Arabidopsis thaliana: one gene and its partner. The protein of the gene in region 2 interacts with the protein of the main gene of each other region in a biochemical or structural test. Each region holds a gene or a part of one and is shown on either strand. Other genes may lie near its edges.

Region 1 (5,486 bases), about 17 Mb from region 2:
ACTTATAAAAAGGAGGTAAATATTAGAGGGAGCGGTTAAAATGACCAAACGATAACAAATTTATGTATCAGGTTCAAATCCAGGTTTCACTTGCGCTGAACAATATGTACTCCGTCTCCGTGTGCTCTGTATTATTCTGCAGGGAAAGAGATATCTAGCTTTGTATGGCGACATACAAGAAACACAATGTGAAAAAGAAACTATTCGTACGAGTTTTAGTAACTATATATACACCAGACAAAATCATACACAAAGTCAAAAACATTAAGAAGAAGAACACAAAGTCTAAATTCTCTCTGCAACAAGATATGATGAGACCACTTACTATGATTGCACAACTACGACTAACTACAAACTCTGAGAGCCAAGAGATCGTGCACCAAAAAGAGAATGAACAGGTGAATAACAAATGGAGAATCAAAATATCAAACTTTGCAATAGAAAAAAGAGTTGATTCAACAAAAACGAAAAACAAAAGGAAAAGATATTTACGTTGTAGATATAGAAAATTTTGCTTGGTTTTCATATTTGTTAGTTACCTTTCCTCAAATGAGTAAAAGTGTGTCTATGTGGGTAAGGTGTTGTCGTGTTGTCATCATGCTGTAATGCCTAAACATCGAGCTTGCTATATCAAGTCTAAACTGAATGAAAATCACCATTGTGAAAAGATAAAAAGTGCACCAATCTGTTTTGAACTTGGTTTTACAACAAGAACATAGCCAAAACCATGTCTTACTTTTTCCTACATTCTCTGAAACCACAAAAGAAATCCCAACAAAAAAAACAAAAAATACAGAGATAATATAGTTCTTGCAGCCACAAAATAGTAACAATGGCTCCTCCAAACTGATTCATCATAGAAGATTTGTCATTATCATCATCTCATCTTCATTCCCATTGGAGAAGAATCCATTATACCACACTAAAACCAGACAACAAACTTCAAATCTTCCATATGATCATTAGCTCTTCCACGAGGCTTCTTCTTATGTACAACATTTTTCAATCGATTCCTTCTTTTCTTCGTTTTTCGTTTTTCGTTTACTCCTCTTTCCAGATTCGTCCAGTCACTCTCAACTTGAGTTCTTGCCTATCACCTCCAGAGAAGTAGAGTGCGAGGTTCCTTGGGATGATGAGTCCGTCTTGACTGTCCCGGACTTTCCTGTGACTGTCACGGATGCTTCTAGGGATCCCTTGCCATGTTAATTTCCGTCCATGAGCTCCTACTTCCAAGCTGTAACTGAACTTCTTCGCCTCGTTCTCATCTCCCATAAAACGAAGGAATGCCATGTACACTGGAGCCATTCCCAGCTGGAACGCCTCGAAGTGTAAACAGAACTGTCTCCCAAAACAGTTGAACACCTGGAAACAAAATTTTAGTAACTGAGATTCAAGTTTAAGTGTGAGGATTAAAGTGGGACTAAGAGACCCTATGGTAGGTACTTAAGGAGACCGTAAAATTGGACTAACAAAGAAGAGCAAAGCGGGAACCGGAATAGCAGCTAGTAAGGGAGTTTGGCACCGGATTGTTCAAGGTCAAAATTTAATAGGCAAAATAGAAATCCAAAAATAGCATAAAAGAGCAGAGCCAGAGATTCCTATAGTTCCTTCTAAAGAATCCAATCTGTATTTTGTAGAAAAGAGCTAAAGCCAGGAATATTTCATGGTTGAGGATAACAGCGAAAGAAGGTGAATGTAAAAGCTTAGTCATATGATGATATAAAATCACAACCTGCATAAAAATTTCATCTGAAGAAATAACCTGAATCAGACTTTAAATTAGAAACCTTTGATAAAAAGAAGAAAACATATCGAAAGAAAGTTTTACCGTAAGCATCCATGTAGCATTTTCGACCTCATGTGGATTTGACTTTACATAACGGTGGTTGAAGGTGCATCCGTCATGCATATCGACTTTATGATCATCTTTGAGATGAACGACAAGTGTAGGGATATCACCTGTAACCGAACACTCAGAACCAGCATAAGGGCAAGTGTAAGGCCTAAACCTGCAATGCTGCTCGTGCTTAAGCTTGCTGTAGTAAGGGAAAATGTCATGACACCCCAAATTTTGGTACCGGCATGGAACTTCCAAAGACTCTGCAACTTTCTCAAGAGCTAAGCATCTTATGTTACCAAGCTCGTAGCGACATGTAGGGCATGTGTTCTGCACTCTCAGTTTGCAGTTTGAACATAATGTGTGGCCATTCGGACACTGTAGAATTAAATAACATTTAGAACATGAAACATTGCAATTAGTCAATTACAAATCTGTTCAAGCTCATATACTACTGACCTGATGAATTGGAGGGTACATTAAATTTGTACAGACGGGACATTCAAGAAGCTCGTAAACACCATTGTTCGAATGGATCCCATATTTTCCAATCCCTGCACTCCCTGGCTTTGTAGGTTTGTTATTATTAACTTCCACTTTTGCCGTTTTAACCTCGTAATCCATTCCCGTTGAATTAGATTCCATGACTTCTTTCAAAGCACTGCCTCCAGGAGCCATGACGAGCCCAAATCCCTAATTCAACTAAAATGAAATTGCCCTTTGTATTCTCTTGTCAGATAATTTACTCCTAATGGATCTCTTTATTATCCTGCAGGAAAAAAGGAATCATTAGCAATACAAGCTTATATTGAGAAGGCTAATACATATAGTTGATATATTGAGAAGGAAAAAAGTAGATTAAGGGGCAGATACTTGGTTCAGCTGATCAAGTCTTTTACTTTTTATAGCTTCTTAAGCAACAAAGAATAAAATAAAATAATCAAACATTTGAAGCAAAACAATAAATGCACTTTCAGATAGGTAAACAAAGCAATAGGCCTAAAGCTATGAACAAAGCTAGACCTTTGCACATTCCAATGACTTCAACAGTTAAACAGTAATCAATCACAGGACTATCAAACATCAAAAGAGAAAAATTCCAAGAGAACAAACAAAAACCTATTCTCTTTTCAATCTAACTAAACAGAGATAAACATGAAAATAGATCTAACTAGAGAACAAGAACCAACGCATCTAACCTGTGAAAGCTAAACAAAGATCGTGCAAGCAAAGTTTCACAATTTTGCAATTAAAAGGATCAGGTTAAAGCAGAAATCTATAGAGAAACGGTGTTCAAAAATACAAATCCCAATATCATAAATCTCAACAATATCTTTGTCTCTTTGACCTATGAAACAATTTCAAAACAATCCATTCATAAACCAAAAGATTCAAAGACAACAAAATGAAGCAAAAAAAAAAATTGACCTTCCGAGAATTATATTTCCCCCCCCAAAAAGCAAGCTAGATTCGTCGTCACACGATAATCCAACCCGATAATAAATTTCGGAATTAGGTAATTCTGGATCTTTTGTTCCCGATTTCAAAATAAAAAACCCCAAATTGAAAAGAAAGAGAAGAAGTTTTCTCTTACCCGGAAGAAATTTTCCAGACTTTGTTATGGATTATGCGTTGCTTCGGATTCAGATTAAGAGGAGAAAAGGAGGGATTAATTGAAAAAATTGGGGGATTAAACGAAAAGGGAATAAGGGAGAAGACGGAGGAGGAGGAGGCTGGGATTGAGTTTGTTGTGTCCTGTCTTGTTCGTATCGGTGAAGAAAGCCATTAATGGTGGTGGTCTCTGTTTTGTCTTTATTCCCCACTTTTTAAAAACACCGAATCACAATTCACGAAGGTGGTTTTACTTTTTTTTTAGAAATTGATTTTATCTCATTTAATTACAATTATTTACTATATTTTCATCTGAGATTTTGTACTATCTTCATAATTGTATTACTATTTTCTCCATTATGGTGCGTTACAACGCTCGATTACTTTCTTTTTTCTAGTATTGTTTTCAGATGTAATTACATTTTTGTAACAGAGAAGAAAAACAAAAACTGTAAAAGGACAAATATTTTCTCATTTTTAATTGCTTCAGATATACATACGCTTGTGAGTGAATCTTTGTGATCTTTATGAGTAAAAACAAAAAGAAGTAGTAAAATAGTTTAAAAGTTACATCTCCGGCAAAAGTCAATTTAAATTGTGGAAAAATACAAAAGTAATGACGAATCTAATAGCCATTTTTAGATTTAAAAACATCTTATTGGCTCGAGTTCGTGCATCGAATAACGCGACGTCGCTCGTTTCCCGCACACATCATTTGAGTTTTTATTTTTATTTTATTTTCACTTTTCAAATTTTCATTTTTCCTCATAATTTTTTTGAATTTTGTCAATCACTTTCCAATGAGATTTAAGGTTAAATTCAATTAAAACAGGACCATTATAAGTGTAAGCTGATATATATTTGGCAGCTTATATTTAAGTTAACAAGAATCCAAGAAACTTTATAATTTAATAAATGATGAAAGCCTGAAAATGGTGGAAGATGTCTGTTTTTGTGGGGGTTCTTATTTATTTTTTGTCTCCCCTCGTGTGAATGTATTTTTGCGGTGTTTTTTTTTTTTATATTGCCAAGAAAATATCATATGATAGTATAAAAATAAGTTTTTTTGTTGTAATCAGAAGTGAAATAATTGTTGAAGAAAACCATATGAAGTGAGATGATTCAACAGAAAATAATAGACGTGTCGGATGTCGCTGTGCGCATGTGACATGTACTCTCAAAAAAAAATTGGATTTTTCTACGACCATATAATCATCGTTTCTAAACAAATCTGTCAAAAAAAAAAGTTAGGGGACAAGGAAAAGAAAATAAAAATAATACGACACCTGAGAGATTCGAACTCTCGCGGGGAAACCCCATTTACTTAGCAGGCAAACGCCTTAACCACTCGGCCAAAGTGTCTTATTGTTACGTTGCTTCATAACTGATTTATATACTAACTTGCTTTAGTCTACAAAGTTGAAAAAACACACCATGTTACTTAATAATAAAATTAGCATTTTGCCTAAAAGTTTTGTTTTAAAAAGGTTAATAGTTTATTCTACATTTTCTTACTGATTTTCAAATCCAACAAAATTTCAAGCTATCTAATTATCATTTGGAAATCGATTAAAATTTTCAAGTTTGTTGTTTTATAAGAATAGTTATCAAGAACACATTCCATATTGGATTCAAAGGTTTATGATATTTTACCGTCAGAAGAAAAAAAAGATGAAAGAAAATTTTCGATTAAAAAAAACCATCCCTATCGAGAAAAATACAAAAACAAATTACAACAAAGCAACACAAGAAAAATAAAGTTACACAATCTTCTTCTTATCTTCTTCTTAATCATCATCATCGTCAGCTTCCAGGTTGAAAGCTTTTCTTATTTATGTTTCTCAAGTAAATCTCCTTCTCCTAGGCGGACGAGAATCTGCACTGTCTACATCAGAAACCCTCGAACCATTCTCATTCCTTCTCCTCGAGGACGATGTCGAAAGAGCCATAGAATCGATCTCAACTGCAGTATCCACTTGACTCTCAGAGTTTATAACAGCTGCAATGCTTGAGAATGAGTCTCTATCATCAACCACAA
Region 2 (4,530 bases):
AGACTGTCATAGTGTCATAGATTGGAAAACTAGTTTTGGTTTCTCTGTTATCCATAGTAAAATGTTGTCTTATGATAATGGGAATTTCACGGTGTACTTGGGAAAAGAATTAGTCGCAAACTCGTTGATTGAACAATGAATCTTCATCTAGACAGCCTTAAGCCTTTAGTTACCCTACAGAATCATTTTGATGATTTCCAATATTTTCTTGTAAGCAATGTGGCCATGTGGGTGTATTATTATTTTTGTATTTTCATCAAATGGTTCACGAGAAAGTTTACAGGACAAAACTCAATTCTGTCTCATTTTTCCTTATTACCAGGCACGTTCTTTGTCTGGTTCGGTCTTGTTTCCTGAAGCTTTTTTAAATCTATTGTTTTCGAGGTGTACGAAGAATCTTTCTAATTGCTTTTAAAGTGAAAGTTGTTTGAATTATTCAAAACTAATGAATAAATAAGGCATATTTCTCAAAATCAATCAAGCAAAGTTAGGCAGAGAAGATTCATTGAACAGATAGAGAAGTTCCAAAGAGACTTTATTATAATGCTAAACAAGTTTGGGGGTACAAAACATTACACTTTCGAGGGTGATGATACGCTATAACAAAGATCAAAAAGAGAGCTCAGAAGACTAATAAACTGTCTTTTAAATAGAAAAGAAATACAAAAATGAAAGAACAAAACAAGACTTAATAGATAGATATTATTATACCTCTATTTACTTCATCACACCTTTTTTATTTCGACAAAATTAAAAGAGAAACTCTCTATGGAAGAGAGGCTCATGAGATACCAATGCATAGAGCTTGAGGTGTGACTTGTACCATCCCCCAACAGCAAAATCCTGAAACAACCAAAAAAGAACGACAGAAGATTAATCCTGAAACCAACACTTAGGTTGTTTGTCTTTACGATTCAACAAGAAGAGCTTGTAACTGTAACTCACCAACACAGCTTTATTTACAAACTAAGGAACCATCGATCACTTCAAAAGTCTCCTTCCAGCATGAAATTGATCTCATCTAAGCTCCATAGCTCCACTGGGTTTTCCTCTTCCTGAGTCACAGCACCAGCATCTGCGCCAAGCATGGCTTCCACTTCTAGTGGGGTGTCCCACAAGGCGTTGTCAAGGTATGCCATCAGATCGTCTGACTCATCAGAGTTTGGTTTGAGCTTCTTGGCTGCATTGGTTTCTTCAACAAATGATGCTTCGTTGTTATTGACAAGCATTGAAGAGATCTCGGGTGTTTTAGGGCCGTGATCACTCCACCCGAACTCAGAACAGTCGAAGGAGTTACTGCCCTGATCGGAACTGAAATACTGGTATCCATTGTTACCTCCAGCATCGAACGAGTTTGTTAACCCAAACTGATTGTTGTACATCTGAGGCTTCTCTTCCATGAAACTCATATCACCAAAAGAGTTGTCAAAGGAGTTGTTGCAGTACTGCTGACTCAGATGTGTTGGCTGCTGAACCAAAGTTACGCTTTTGTTTGGTTTAGCCACTGATTTCTGAAGATTATTAGTCTTAGCACTAGGACGTTTCTGGGATACGACGCTAGGGTTCTTCTCCTCGGGAAAATTCACCTTAGCTTTCGTGCCACGGATTCTGCGTGCTGCAGCATCATAAGCTCTTGCTGCTTCCTCAGCAGTGTCGAATGTTCCAAGCCATTCTCGGGAGCCTTTTCTCGGATCACGGATCTCCGCAGCCCATTTTCCCCAAGGACGCTGCCTAATCCCTCGGTATTGATTCTTCCTCTTCCTCTTAGAAGATTTCTCAGCTTGCTCAGCGGACTCTACAGTTTTCTTGGCATATGCTGAACCTACTGTAGCCAAACACACACAATATCAATCATAAGCTGAATAGAACAAACAAAACTGCATCCCTTCAGGAGCTAAGGACGGTAAGCTGGTATATAATCAACATAGTAACAGCAGATGGTTACAAGACCAGTGAGATCAACCAATTCCAAAGACTAAGCTATAAACTAAGAAAAGCCTCTGAAAACCTAAAGATCTAAAAATTTCATGAGCTTTCCAATTCAAATAAAAGTTGAGATTCGAATCAAACCCAAATATATACCAGTGGAGACGAAAGCGGAAGCTACGGGCTTAGTAGTTGCGGTGAAGACGAAAGGCTTAACATTGACGAAGACATCATCATCGTCTTCGCAGTCAAAAGCCGAGTCATCCTTAAACCCTTGGAAATCAGCTTCGAAATCATCGTCAAGATCGAAGAAATCGGATCGCTTATTCGATCTCTTCTTTGAAGCTTTCACTTTGTTTTTCAGATCCGGCCAGATAAACTCGTTAGTGACGCGGAGGGACCTCGGCGGAGGTATGAAATCGGAGATTATAGCTCCTCCACACATGGTGGCTTCACGAAAGCTCTACTCTTTTTAGGGGTGTAAATGATCAGAAATAGAATCTTCGGGGCGAAATAATAAATATTCGATTCTTTGGGGTTCTCTTTTTTAGTTTTTCTTCTTTGTCTCGATGTTACTCTCCAGAAAGAATGAGAAAGGGTGGGTCGTATATTATATAGATTGATTCTTTACTATTATACCCTTACCTGTGACTCGTAATGGCTGTTATGTGTTTAAGCCTTTAAGGTGATTTGTCATGGTTTGGGTGGCTGAATATAATTTTACAGTTTAGTGCTTATTATATAATGAAAAAATGCAATAATTGGTGTAGATTCTTTTGATGTTATCACTATATATGGAAGATAATCATGCAATGAAAATATCTAATTTTCATAATCCACTAGTAGATACTAGATAATCATGCATTGAACAAATGTTCTCATAATTAGCTAGTAGACCAAACGTGTTTTACAAATATATTGAAAAGCTATGTTTTGGTATATTTGATTATTTATCAACCCTTTAAAATATGTAATATATGGTTTTATAACAAAATAAGTTAATACAAGGTAAGTTGCATCCCAATGTTGTCATATTTGACTGTCCTTAGAAATGTCAAAACTCAAAAGTAATTTCCCAACTTTTATAATTGACGCTTTTTGAACATGAAACACGTACGAACGTTCTAAAGTTAGAACTAATTATTCTTGTGGTTTTCAGTTTTGCATGGTTTATGATCTGGAAGTCCAATACAATCGTCCGTTGTGAACCTTTTAGTGTGTAACAGGGAATGATTTATGTAAAAAGATTCTACACATTTTGACAGCATAGTTTATGTCAAAGAACAAAAATTCAAGGAAAAAAGAAGAAAAATTAATACACATCTTTAGCCATTATTAGCAATGACATCTTCCACGTATTAGGCTAACATATATAGATGCTTCTAGCTAGCAGTAGAAAAAGATAAATTTTAATCCCAGATAGTTGCCAACTTTCAAGTAAGTAAACAAATCAATCATGTGTGTTAGAATCGACGAGATTTGTTGAGATTTCAAAATAAATGAACCCCATCCCTAGATGATATTATCATGGAGTGGCAATATTGGAAATACCAAAAATGAGCTCATCTATGGGCGTGTTTGTGTTACACGGAGTTCATTGAATCTTGAGACTTGGAAAAGAGATAAAAGAAAGACAAGTTGAGCAAGTGGACTCTACAAGGCTTTGCGTTGCCCGAGTCCCACCTTGTTACCACACGCTTAAGTCTTAACGCACATCTTCAAAACTAAAAGATCATCAACTATTTATTGTTAATTGCATATCAATTCTTCTAAATGAAAATTGTCCGGTGTATCTTAACATGTTTAAGATACCCGTTAATCTTCATAGTTTTTTCGAAATCATATTCCGAAGAGTTGAAGATGGATAGTAGTATACGTTTGTAGTAAATCAATGTGTATATCTACAAAAGATAAAATAATACCCCCAAAAATCCCAAAAAAGAAATAAGTAGAGAAGATAAAGTTAAGAATGCAAAAGGAGGTAGGACCATTATCCTTTGGTACGATTGAGACAAAGCTCCAAAAATAGTTGATCTCAAGAAACAGAAGATGATGTAAGTTTTGAAAGCTACCCATCCGTATCCCTGCAATTATTTTTGTTTCCGTTATTAAATGAGCTGTAGAGTATAGACAAGCAAAATTTAAAATAACGAAAATATTTAGAAAAAGTAATTAAAATGAGCACTATTTTATTATTATATCTTATGCTAGGAAAATGTAAATGAAATTATTTTGTTCATTTTTGAATGGTAGTAGGTGATCTGCATCTAATTTTAGATGGCTGTAAAAATCTAGAAAGGTTCCAATCGAATATTTCAATCTCTCAAATCTAAAGGCTTTATTTAACTCCTAATCTGGTTGTCTGCCACTACCACCAGTTAACTACACACCTGCACTACACGTATCTTCTAGTTGAGGCTATAATCGAATCATCATTCTTTAACCCAATTTTATATTACTATCTAAGAATATACATCTATTTCTCAGCATAAAAGATTAGGGGGAACCCATCATTTTGACTTTGGCTTATCCGGAAAATTGGATGATCATGATTCATGATATATAATAAAATAAAATCAGCATCACAAGTATTATTTTTTCTTG

What was found.
Region 1: the proteins of RAP2.2 (region 2) and SINAT2 form a complex in vitro, tested with the Arabidopsis thaliana proteins (one study listed by BioGRID).

Annotation. Positions count from the first base shown.
Region 1 is NC_003074.8:21,486,641-21,492,126, reverse strand, and holds SINAT2 (uncharacterized protein), read right to left. Parts: upstream 3,666-5,486; 5' UTR 3,432-3,665; exon of another isoform or gene 3,037-3,431; intron 2,607-3,036; 5' UTR 2,516-2,606; coding exon 2,297-2,515; intron 2,216-2,296; coding exon 1,829-2,215; coding exon of another isoform or gene 1,775-1,828; exon of another isoform or gene 1,363-1,774; coding exon 1,042-1,362; 3' UTR 609-1,041; downstream 1-608. Other genes in the region: AT3G58030 (RING/U-box superfamily protein), read right to left, coding at 5,290-5,486. UniProt on the Arabidopsis thaliana protein: E3 ubiquitin-protein ligase that mediates ubiquitination and subsequent proteasomal degradation of target proteins.
Region 2 is NC_003074.8:4,736,630-4,741,159, forward strand, and holds RAP2.2 (uncharacterized protein), read right to left. Parts: upstream 2,508-4,530; 5' UTR 2,372-2,507; coding exon 2,071-2,371; intron 1,826-2,070; coding exon 987-1,825; 3' UTR 946-986; intron 844-945; 3' UTR 517-843; downstream 1-516.